3 linked regions of the Coturnix japonica genome follow. The protein of the gene in region 2 interacts with the protein of the main gene of each other region in a pairwise test. Links are inferred from orthologs where the notes say so. Each region holds a gene or a part of one and is shown on either strand. Other genes may lie near its edges.

What was found. The genes of interacting proteins can lie anywhere in the genome.
Region 1: the proteins of SEC23B (region 2) and HOXA3 interact in binary tests that used the Homo sapiens proteins (3 or more experiments, as listed by UniProt). The two-hybrid records come from large-scale screens. The link is inferred for Coturnix japonica from reciprocal best matches to the Homo sapiens genes SEC23B and HOXA3.
Region 3: the proteins of SEC23B (region 2) and PRRC1 interact in binary tests that used the Homo sapiens proteins (3 or more experiments, as listed by UniProt). The two-hybrid records come from large-scale screens. The link is inferred for Coturnix japonica from reciprocal best matches to the Homo sapiens genes SEC23B and PRRC1.

What each region holds. Positions count from the first base shown.
Region 1 is NC_029517.1:29,870,869-29,875,109, reverse strand, and holds the start of HOXA3 (homeobox protein Hox-A3), read left to right. Parts: upstream 1-1,441; 5' UTR 1,442-1,653; coding exon of another isoform or gene 1,654-1,846; intron 1,847-4,241. UniProt on the Homo sapiens protein: Sequence-specific transcription factor which is part of a developmental regulatory system that provides cells with specific positional identities on the anterior-posterior axis.
Region 2 is NC_029518.1:13,391,556-13,395,055, reverse strand, and holds part of SEC23B (protein transport protein Sec23B), read left to right. Parts: intron 1-628; coding exon 629-773; intron 774-1,321; coding exon 1,322-1,480; intron 1,481-2,056; coding exon 2,057-2,172; intron 2,173-2,978; coding exon 2,979-3,102; intron 3,103-3,497; coding exon 3,498-3,500. UniProt on the Homo sapiens protein: Component of the coat protein complex II (COPII) which promotes the formation of transport vesicles from the endoplasmic reticulum (ER).
Region 3 is NC_029547.1:50,254,307-50,258,501, forward strand, and holds the start of PRRC1 (protein PRRC1), read left to right. Parts: upstream 1-1,395; 5' UTR 1,396-1,508; exon of another isoform or gene 1,509-1,561; intron 1,562-4,195. UniProt on the Homo sapiens protein: May act as a regulator of the protein kinase A (PKA) activity during embryonic development.

The DNA.
Region 1 (4,241 bases), on a different chromosome or scaffold from region 2:
GTTTGTCCCGATGATCCCAACGTGTTAATATGTAATACCGTGAATTTTCCTACGATAGCAAATATTGTATATTTGAACGATTTTTTTTTTTTTTTGTCATTTATATTTGTCTTGGAACTCATTTGTAAGACCGTGTCATAAATTGGGAAGTATGTAACAAATTGGGAAACTTTTGTCGCATGACGTATCGTTCAGATCTCTGTATAAATCCGTCTCGAAGGTTTGGCTAAAGTTGATTCAAACAATTGTATGTTACAATGTGTTTCGATGTGTTCGTTGTGAACATTTGGATATGCCGTGTAAGTATTGGAAGTGGAAAAAAAAAAAAGAATCATGTCTGTGAACTCTCTTTGGAAGTGATCCCGTGTTCAAGTATCCCCCACGATAAATGTGTTTTATGTCACACGGAAAAATAAAGATGCTTGTTGACAATTAATTGTGCTTTTTTTGTCTGCTTGGTTTTTTTAATTAGAGAAACAGTTCGAAGGAAGGAGAAAAAAATAACCAACACGCACAAATAAAGGAATTCGACCACACTGTTATTATTATTATTTTTTCCCCTATGAGCGAAAGGAATAAAATAACCCGAGGTGACGAATGGACAGTATTCAGTCCAGTTCTCTATTTTAACTTTGGTTTGTTTTTTTTCCTTTCTTTTTTTAAGTTAATGTATTTATTTCTCCCAGCGCGGTTGATTAATAAAGCGGAAAGCTTCTTTATGGCAGGGCTTCCTTCCACCGTGCTCCGGGGTTCCTCTAGAAAGCCCGAGCCCGGCCCAGGCGGCCGTGATAGAGCCCCATTCGCACGTAGGGCAACCAGATTTGGGAAGGAGCAAAAAAGTGATGGGCGAAACTTCCCGGGGTTGAACGCTCGGCTGAGGACGGGCGGCTTTCCGAGGCCGAGGGACACGGGAATTGGGCTTTCAAAAAGAGGGGGTAAAACAGCCCCGCTTTAGGATAGATATCCGGATTAGATATTCATTCTGCTGTGTACCACGCGAAAATCGAGGCGAGAAAGTGCTGTCAACGATGAAAAAAATAAAATAAATAAAAAAAAAAATGTCAGAAATGAGAAATAAGAAATTAAAAATAAATAAAAAATAAATAAAAAATTAAAATAATTTTTAATAGCCCGAAAAGTCCCTTTCTGAGGGCGGCCGAACGCAGTGTAGAACGGGAGCATCGTCTGAGCTGAAGTTCCCCTTCACCGCCGCTCTCGGTCCCCGCCGATGGACTAATTGCCATTTTAATAAAATTAGTGCGAACTCCAGGTCTGCTTTAAAAAAAAAATAGAAAGAAAATCCGGGGCTGCCTCTGTGGTAAGATGGCGCCTCTCTAAGACCTGCCTCTTCTTAGTGATGAGGAAAAGGCCATAAATCCGTTGTTGTTTATGAAAATTTACAACTTTGCAATACAACTTTATGAGTTGTTCGGTTTTTCCATTGGTCGTTGTCGGTCATGTGGATGGTAACCGTGAACATGAACTTTTTTATAATTTCCCTTGCGAGAATAGAGCCGCATTCTTTTGCTGAGCTCTGTCCTGCTTCGGATCTCTCTGGCTTTCAATCCCCATTTCATTTGCTCTTTGTAAGGCAATAGTGAACAAAGTGTGCGGAGGTTCGGCATAAGCAGCCGCCTAGAACACAGATCCGGGATGGCAATTTCCAGTTCCCCCGCTGGAAGGTGTGGCATATTGGATTCAAAGCACTGGCGTGGCAGATTTTCAACTTGCAACCTGGCTAATTTCCTGCTTCTTCTGGCACCAAAAGGAGGGCGATTCGTCTCCTGTGCAGCCAAAGCGACAGCTGTCAAAGTCGCAGGGGCTCCTGTGAGCCAGAACCTAAAAGGTGAGAAATGTATATGACACTGCCGTAAGCAGGGAAACATGCTTTAATACGGGGAGATATTAGACGTGTGCAATTAAAGCGAATGGGGGAATGTGAGCGGCCAGAAATAGACGCGGTCGCAGCTCGGCTCCTTTCGGTTTAACCTGTGCATGCGGAGATGCTGAATAAAATGCCGATTTGCTATTATTTCTACGGGAAGCGTGGATTTTTCACCAAGTTTATTTCTGCTTGCGTTTGCCGGGGGGTCGCTGTGGCATTCCGATTATTTTCTAAGAATTCAGGTTTACAGCATCAATCCGGGAGCATTACTGTTATTATTATTATTATTTTTGCCGGCGCGGAGGCGGGGGTGTGTGTGGGGGGAGATGATTTATATATGTATATAAAAGCAATATTTTTCTTTCGCAGCATTAACTTTAAGCTCCATCGCGGCAGCTGAAATTTAGATGTGATTTATCTGTGATTATTTTAAGTCTGTTTTGGATAGGGGGTGGGGTGGTGGAATCACGGCACAACGCTCCTGTGTCCGGGGGAAGGTTCTTCCCGGAGCACGGCTGTGCCTTTGGTTGTCTCTCTCGGCTGCTCGCCGCGGAGCCGTGGCGCAGCGCTCGGGCGGCGGCAGCGCTCAGCTCGGCTGCGTGGAGCAGAGAGGATGGGGGAGCCGGGGCTGAACCCATTCTCCCCTCACTGTGAGAGGGGAGAGGGTGCGAGTCCCCTCCCTACAACCCCCGGGGAAGACTCTCGGGCCCCCGCCGCCGCCCCGTGATGGTGACAGCCATCACGGGTGAGCGGCTCGCAGAGCTGTTTGTGCCGCCGAAGCCTCGCATTTGCATTGCATTGCGGTACCCGGCGGAGTGGGGCTGCGGCGAGCGGCGGATTATTTATTGCAGGCGGCGGTGCTCAGTGCTGCCACGGCGTGGCCGAGCCGCGGAGGCGGGCATCGGGAACGGGGCAGCGCCGGGAGACTGCGCCGCTGCTGCCGGCGCAGCGCAGGGGCTTAACCCCCGCCTCCCCTCACCCATAAAGATATATATTAAAAAAGAGATATATATTTTAAAAAGGAAATCCTGCCTACCGCACCTCTATGGAGCATCGCTCCCTTGGGCCGATGTTGCGCTGCCCCCTCCCTTCGTTGTGCTCTCGGTGTGTGTGTGTGTCAGCTGGGGGCGGCTCTCGGTCTATGCCCTCCAGGCCTCTCCCCAGTGTCCCTCGGGTCAGAGCGGCCGCTCAGCCGGCCCGGAGCGCTCGGATTCGAGCTCTTGGTTAAAGGGTAGGGGGCTGGGGTGGGGGACGCTGCCGAGCAGATAATGGCTTGTAAGGGGGTTTGTGTACGAGGAGAAGGAGGGTTTTAGGGTTAGGAGGGGAAGTGCCCCCGCACCTGTATCTGTGAATGAAGAGAGGGGGACGCGGGACGCGGGGAGCTCTGCAAACAAACATACGGCCCGGAGATACCGGGGACTGAAGCATGGGGCTCTGTGGCAAAACGCTGCGGCTGCCTTCTGCTTCCCGGCAGGAAAACTGCAATGAATGTGGCCGAGCGGGCAGAGCTCGGGGTGCCGAGATTCGGGGTGCTCGGGGGCGGGGGGAGGAGCGCAGAGGACGTGAGGATATGAGACTGTGATACTGTGAGAGCAGCACAGAGCGCAGCGCAGAGCGTTCGGCTGTCACCGAAACGGCTCGGCCGCGGCCCGGCCGCGCAGAAGGGAACATAGAGCGTCTTTCGATATTATGGGGGCAACGAAGATATGCTTTCGCTGCTCGCGGCCGGGGTTCAGATGGTCCGGTTTGAATGCGAGCGATAACTCGAGGGAGAGAAGGAAAAACCAAAAGGAAAAAAAAAAAAGAAAGAGAAATAAATCAATGCATAAAGCAAAGCTGCAAAATGTAAATAAAAGAGCCTTGCGCGATTTTTAAACCTCGGTCTCCGTGCGATGGATTCACACAAAGGCCGCCCGGCCACAACTTTTTAAAGTAGGGCCGCTGCGCTCCGCTCGCCCCGAATATTGATGTTTCACGGCGCGTTTTCGTTCTGTTCCACGTTTTTGGAAATGCTCTCGTTTTAAAGCTCTTTGTGCTCACCGCGCTGTGTGCCGGGCTGCTGCCGTTCCCCCTTTTTATAGCCCTATTTGCAGAGAGTACAAAACTTTCCTGGGGAAGGCAAACACTCGTTTCCCAATGAGCCCGCAGCTCAGAGCCGGGGCTCTGCCAGGTGTGGCCGCGGGTCGGCCGGCACCGGGAGTTTAAGGAAGTTGAAAAAAAATTGGAGGCAATCAACATCTGAATGTGAAAGTCCAGCTGAGGCCGCGAACAATACGAACTATTGTGGGGCGACGTTTTAACTCGCTGCTGTTTTATAGGTATCGTAATCAGCCCCCGGAAATGAGATAAATAGTCC
Region 2 (3,500 bases):
AGAGTTATTGTCCTGCATCAAGTGATGCAAGTGGGTGAGATTTACTAGGGCAGTGTTTTAGCCTTCTGTGGTGTCTTGTTTTTGCAGTTACAAGAACATCATTGCTAGTCAGACTGGATTTCTTCTTGATAAGTATAGCATAGCTGTCTTCAGAAAGCATATTGTTCAGGGGTCAAATGTGTTTAGAGCAGGAACCTTTTTGGTTGACGACTTCATGGGGTCCTTGTTTATGAGTAACAGTTCTTGCTTGGATGAGTAAAATAAACCACAAGAAACAACAATTGGTGGGCAGGTAGTGACCCCTGAACAGTGAAGCCCTATTTGCCTCTGTTGAATGCAGTTGTTTGCTTTTATTCTCCACTCCTCTTTTCCTGTGGCAGCTCCTCTACCTTTTGGTGGACTAAATCACCACTAAGGTCCTTTTCTGTGCTGTGAGTGACTTTGCTTTCTTGTCAGTTCCTGATGGCTTCCTTTGATCAATTCTGTTACTTTGCCTGTTAGCTTGGATTGTCTGGACGTAAAGGAACGTGCTATGTAACATTTTGCTTTTTGTTAAGTCTTCCAGTGTAATTAAAGTGTGCTAGGAACAGGGGCACACTTAAAGTGGGAAAACATTTCAATTTTTCAGGTTCTTGCAGCCAGTACATAAGATTGATATGAATCTAACAGATCTCCTTGGAGAACTTCAAAGGGACCCGTGGCCAGTGACCCAAGGAAAGAGGCCTTTGCGTTCCACTGGAGTAGCTCTTTCGATTGCAGTTGGCTTGCTAGAGGTACTTTTATTGCAGCTGTTTGTTAGGGATGAGCTGGTCAAAGTAAGCACATGGCAGTTTTTGCTGAGACATGTACAGGTCTCAGTGCACATTGGTTTGCAGCCCAGTTACTTTGAGATGCAGTGGCATATTTTGTCTGTGCTGATGTGTGGCATGAGTTAGCACCAGCTGGTGTAGAGTGGGCTATAGGAATTTATATTTAGCTGTAAACTGTGTGAAAGGTGCAGGTGTTTAAAGGTTTCTAATTCTTACATATATTGCCATGTGAAGGTGATTGTATGTACTGTGATTCTTTCTGTTGTTTCTTTGCATGGGTCATCTAAGGTTGAAGTAAAAAGAATTGAAACTGCCTGCTTCCTGTTGTGATGATTGCTGTAGTTTGAGTCTAACCTAGAGGGTGCCTGTCAGGAAATGTCTTGCTGTTTTTCAGGCCTGCCTGTAACAGAGATAGGTCCCAGATGGTGTTGCAGAATAACGTACAGATTCCTCTGTAAAGAAACCACTGTCCTCTCCCTGAGTTCTAATATAAGATCTTGTCTTTATTTTAGGGCACGTTTCCAAACACAGGAGCCAGAATAATGCTATTTACAGGTGGTCCGCCAACACAGGGACCAGGCATGGTGGTGGGAGATGAATTGAAAACACCCATTCGTTCTTGGCATGACATAGAGAAGGACAACGCGAGGTTCATGAAGAAGGCCACCAAGGTACGTGCTGGTGTCAGCTGGGGGAGAAAACACACACAGCAGCTTAGGCTTGTTGTGTGTGCAGGGGGTGCTTAAAGGCAAAATACAAATGCAAGTGTTGGAATACAGAATGGGGTTGGGAGGAAGGAGATGACCCAAACCTATATAGGCAGCTGTCCAGTATCATTCTGTAGGTCATGGAAGTCTTATTTTCTTTATATGGAATTAGTATGTCCAGACATTTGCATGGATGTTCACAAAATGCATGAGCCTTTCTGTGTGTTAAGCTATGAGAATGGTCAAAGGATGGGTGAGAGTCTTATTGTTAGTTACTTCTCCAAGTATGGTCGTGTGCCTTCTCAGAAGTATTTCAGTGTTCTCATCTGGCTGCTGGGGAGCGGAGGTCCTTTTACCTCCTTTAGGAGAGGGGAAAAAATACAAGCCTGTATTCCAAGAACTGGTGATTTCTAAAAAGGCTCCGTTTTCTCTTAACATATGAAAGAATAGTTAAAATATTAGGTGTGAAATGTGCCTGTCAGCTTAGAGGCATATTCCTTCATATTCCTTAATGTTGTTTGTGTTGTCTGTTCTCCCCAGCACTATGAGACTCTGGCCAATCGCACTGCCACCAATGGGCACTGCATTGACATCTATGCCTGCGCCCTGGATCAGACTGGACTGCTAGAGATGAAATGTTGTGCAAACCTCACTGGGTATGTCTGCAACAGGAAACACAAAGGTGGCACTTTTATTTCTGGAGGGGGAGAACAGTTTGGAAAGCAGTTAGTTTTCTATGAAAGCAAAAGGGGGAGATTTGTGTCATTTTATTCTAAATTGTGGTTTGAATTTACCAGGAGTTACATGGTAAACCTCCCCTGATCCCAGGCCACATTTCTGAAGCCTCAAAGTAGCGTAAGAGTTAACACTGCTGGTAGAAAACTCAATGTCCTGCTTTGGAGAAAGGTATTCTAAAGCATGATGCAACATGTCTTGCAAAAATGCCTTCTGTCTCCTTCAAGTGCCCTGGCAGGTAGCAAGAAGATCCTTTGCAGAACTGGTGGGACATAGATCCCCTCTGTTGTGTGTGCGTGACTGAAATGCTATCAGAATAGCAGAGCTTCAGGCATGGTGGGTAAATGCTTTCATTGTGTTGGCCAGATTTCCTCATGCTTAACAGCTCATTTTGCTTTCTTAATGGAGGTAGGCTGAGCAAAGCTCTCTTCTGGGTAGAGCTGTTTGTAACCAGTGAAAACAGGAGCATTTTTAAGGCAGCTGAAGGGATGACAAGAAACATAGCTTAGAAAGCAAGCTGGCAAAGGTGGAGCACTAACTTGTTTGGCTTTGGAGGCATCCATGAATATGTTCCCTGATGCAAATTCTACCTATGCAAAGGCATGCTTTAAAACAGTTTCTGTCTGTATTTGAGTGCATGAGAGTTGGAGGGGTTTGTATCCTTGGTGATATACTTCTAGCTCTCAATTGTTTCAATTCCCTTGCGTGGCTTTTTTTTCCTTCTCAGAGGACACATGGTGATGGGAGATTCCTTCAACACTTCTCTCTTCAAGCAGACCTTCCAGCGGGTGTTCAACAAAGGGCTCAATGGGGAATTTCGGATGGCTTTTGGTGCAAATTTGGAAGTGAAGGTGAGAGATAAGTTTAATTAACTGGCACTGACTTAGAAGTGCAAGTGCTGTTGATTGGAAAAGTTGACTAGGTATTTACGTGTAGAAAATTCTCCATCTTTGAGGTCAGCTGTAGTGCCTTCTTTGGAAAAAGCATCATGCTGGAGTGAGGGAAGGCATTCTTTATTTGAAATTTTATTAAATTTATGGTTAAAATAATAATAATAATAAAAAGCTGAGCTTATTTTCACCAGCTGTGGCAGTAGGGGTGACCTGTGAGAGTACTGAAGGATGCTTTCCATGGTAGCCTTGTATATTCACCTTCTGATTGAAGCTGAGCACCTCATTCAGTCTATGTGTGTTCCATCTGACTAACTTGATTTTTTTGTTTAAGCATTTTTGTTGTCTTGTTCTAGACA
Region 3 (4,195 bases), on a different chromosome or scaffold from region 2:
TGCTTGGGTCACCCCTGTATTACCAACATGGGTCAGACCTTTCACCCACCTCCGAACTGGCAAGGTTGTCTTAACTGTAACTTCATCTGCTTGGGTTACTGGCTCTACTGTCTGTAATGCACGGTAGGCAGCCAGTAACTCTTTTCAATCATATTATACCTCTTTTCTGCTCCGGCCAGACCTGAGACCAGAACCCAACTGGGGTTCGAATGGAATTCTAGCACTTCTGTAGGCCCCAGCCTAACTTGTCCTGAGGCACATGGAGATTTAGTTTGGCTGGAAGGGTGCCTGGGCCTGTTTAACAGCTAGTTTTGCTTGCTAGAAGGCCTCTTGTTCTGTTCTTCCCCAGTCCCAGTCCCACTTTTGGCCTTCCTTGGAGTCAGTATGAAGGCCTCAGCCACTGCGCTAAGTGAAGTATAAAGGAACACCAGTATCCCTATATGCCCCAAAATTCTTGCTGCCGCCCTGGCACAGTAGGGATTGGGAATGCTTAAACTTTGCCTGTTATTGCACTGGATAGTATTTTGGTCTTTCCTGACCAAATTGCACCCAGGAATTTCACCGACAGGCCTGGTCCTTGCACCTTCTGTGGGTTTATAGCCCACCCTTTCTCTTGCAGATAGGTAGTCAATAAATCTACTGCCTTTCCTAATGCCTCCAGTAGGTCAGATGTCAGAATCAAAGCAATTGAAAAAAACTGACTAAGCAAAATTAAGAATTATGTTTCCATGGTAGAAACTGTTTCCTGAACATGCTATTAATTAACCCGCCTACCAAAGAGTCGGTGGAAGTCAGGCAGGAATCAATAAAATTCAACATTTATGAATCGTCTCCTAGGAAAATCTCCATTTGGAAAAATTAACGTCACTCAGTCAGTTTCAGGCGGCGGCTCAGCACCCCTTCCCAAACCATTCCCCGGCCGTTCGTGGCTTTATTCTACCACAGCGGCCACGAATAAACACGGCATTATCGCCACGAGAACCGCAGGAGAGACAAGCCCCCCGGCCGGAGGTTCCCCGGCACGGACAGCAGAATGGCCCCGCCAAGCGGCAGTCACAACGCCCGCCCCGCGGCGCCATCTCACAGCGGGCGGCCACCCCCACCGGGCGCCCCGCAGGAGACGTGGCGACGCGTGGCGGGGGGCGGCACCGCAGAGCGGCAATGCGGGGCGCAGGCGCCTCGCTGCAGAGCCTGCCGGGACTCGTAGTCGGCATTGGGGCCGGCGGTCACCCGCTTCGTTGCCTTTGGGGCTCGGCTCGCCCCTTCTCCTCCGGGCCGGCTCTGCCGCTCCGCCCGTGGTGCTCGGAGGGGCCGATCCGCAGCAACGGGTGCTCGGCAGGCGCCTGTAGTCGCGCCGACGGGACGGCGCCGCGCAGTCACCCGTCGTCCCCGGCGGCGGGAGGGAGTGTCCGGAGGGCCGGGCCGGGCGGCGGGGCCGTAGCGCAGCCGTCGCCGCCCTCGCTTGCCGGTCCGACTGCGGCGGTGCGGGCCCGAAGCGGCTGGGGCAGGTGTGGGGCTCGGGGCGCTGCGGGAGGCCGGGACCCGCGGGGTGGACGCGGAGGTGAGAGCCGGTGGGGTCGGGAAAAGCCGGCAGAGAGTCGAGCTGGCCGCCTAGGCCGCACCGCTGCCGCGGCCCCTCGGTGCCACGCGTGAGGGTGGGCAGAGGCTCCGGGCCGAAGCCGCGATAACCTCGGTCCGTGAGGGTTCCGCAGGCAGCACTGCGGCTAACAGGCCGGGCCGGCACGCCGTATGTTCCTTTTGGCTGCTGCTCGCGCGTTCTTGTGCGCGGTGAGTCACCGGCTGCCCTGCCCGACTGCCTCCGTAGGGTCCGGGTGCCCGGCTCCCACCTGGGGAACCTGTGCGGTGCCGGTGTCAGCGACTGCGGGCTGTGACCGTCCTCCCATCGGGGACCGGCTTTTGTCTGACAGGCGGTGCTGCGGCGTCAGATCAGACACTGGAGGCACCGCTGAAGTGAATTACCCTTGATTTCAGCGATTCATGATATCTCACAAAAAAAAACAACCCAGAAAACAGTTATTTTTTGAAAAGAGAGGGGAAAAAATAGATCAACAATAACAAAAAATCACCCTGCAAAGCAGCATCTGGAAGTGCAGGAGCTGTTGCACCTCAGCATATCTTCAACTCCTCGATTACTACTGTTTTTGTTATTAGTATGAAATAACTGTGGGAGGCTTCTTTCTTCCTATATTTATTTTTGCATATTATGTGCCTCTCTTTGGACTTCAAGAGGATCATTCAATACTTGGTGATTAGACGGACTTGGTGCCCTTCCTTTGGCTCCCGTGAGGCTTTGTGTGCCCTCTGGCACCTCCCTGCAGGCTCTGAATTTTATCCCTGGCCTTCTCTCCCTTTCTAACATAGAATAAACCAATGTCAGAAATGCTTTGAATGAAAGTTTTATACTTCGTGTACTTAGAGAACAAATGGTGTGTTTTTGATTTAGGTCAGCTTCACTTCATCTTTAGTAGGATGCCGTTCTAATTTATCTTCTGCTTTTTTGTGTGCATCTTGTTTTGTTTTTAGCATCTTTTGGTCAAACCTGTATGAGTTCTTGGGCTTTTCAGTCCCCCTTGGTCTCTTACTACATTCAGTAGAATTCTGTATCTATGTCTCAGTTAATGCAGCCTGGGGTGTAACATTTTGTTTGAAGCAGTGGTTGCACTGGGAATGGATCATGACTGTGAATTAGACATAAGGAAAAACTTTCTCAGAGAGTGGTCAGAAACTGAAATGGCTGCCCAGGGAGGTGGTGGAGTTGCCATCCCTGGCAGTGTACAGGAGGTGTCTGGATGAGGAGCTACAAGTTATGGGTTAGTGGCTTGTGGTAGCAATGATGATTGGAGGACAGTTGGGCTAGATGATTATGTACTTTCCAACCTTGTGATTCTGCGATTCTATGAAATAAGTAACTGACTGCTGCTTATTCTGGCAGGCTGCTAACTTGCATGTAACCATCACTGGTGTATGTGACCATTACTCTGCTTCATGCATTTAAGTGAAATAGATATGCATATTATGATTTAAACGTGAGAAGTTTAATAGCATTTGAGATCAGTATTCCTACTACATTCCTACTACGTTGCCCCTTCAGGCTCTTAAGTATATTGTTTTTGTCATTTATTAGCAGGAGTGTCTACTGAAAGGCAAGAAGGGGTTAATCAAGAATGGCATCAAATATGACCTAGCATAAACTCTGAAGCCTGTCTGATTTCTGGATAATGTGTTCTTATCCATGTGAAATTTACCTATCTCCGATCGTAGGTAATCTTACCATTAACTGTCAATTTCAGAGTTAGAGTAATAACCCAAATAACAGTTTTGAGGTATGGTCATGTCATTGAGATTACTGCAAAACACTGAAACAAACACAGTCACTTCCTATTAAACGCAAGTAAAGAAAATGATTAACTTGCTAGCTCAATCTCTAATTCAAATCACTTGCTTCCTGCTTTTGACATGAGCTCTGTGAAATTTTTCGATCAGGTCTGGAGCCATTGTTCACCTCAGTGCATGCACTCCCTTGCCTTTGGGAGCACGGCTTAGGCTGAGGTTTGACTGGTGAGAATCTGTATGGTCACTTCTCAGCTACAGAGTGGCCTTTGGGGGTTGGAACTACATGATCCTTGAGGTCCCTTCCAACCCGGGTAATTCTGTGATTCTGTGATTCTGTATGGCCGTATTTAATAAACCAAATAACTGTTGGGAACTTGATATGATTTGTGCTGCTTCTTAAAGGGGTTATTTTAAGGATAACTAAACGTTGGACACACAGGGTTGGTTATTTTGTGTGTGTGTGTGTGTTTCTTTTTTCCCTCTGTATTTATTTTTTTCCTGCATCCCTTGTTTTGATTTCATAAAAGTATAAATAAAGTTTTTCTTACATGAGGTGAGATTATCAAGTTTCTGCGATCAGCTTCTGGTCTCAGATCAGTAGATGGCAGTACTGCTGTACTTTTTGCCTCTTTGTACACACTTCAGTTTGCTTGTTTCAGAATATTTCTTTTGTGCCTTCAGTTTACTAATACAGAGTGCTCCAGTTTGCAAGAAGGAGAAAAAGTCTCATTTGTTGTTATTTTTTGTTGTTGATTTTAATTATTTTTCTAAGTAATTTTCCCATTTACTTCTGTTTCATTGTGTGGCTATGTTTGAAAAATCTCTGCTGACCATAAAGCAA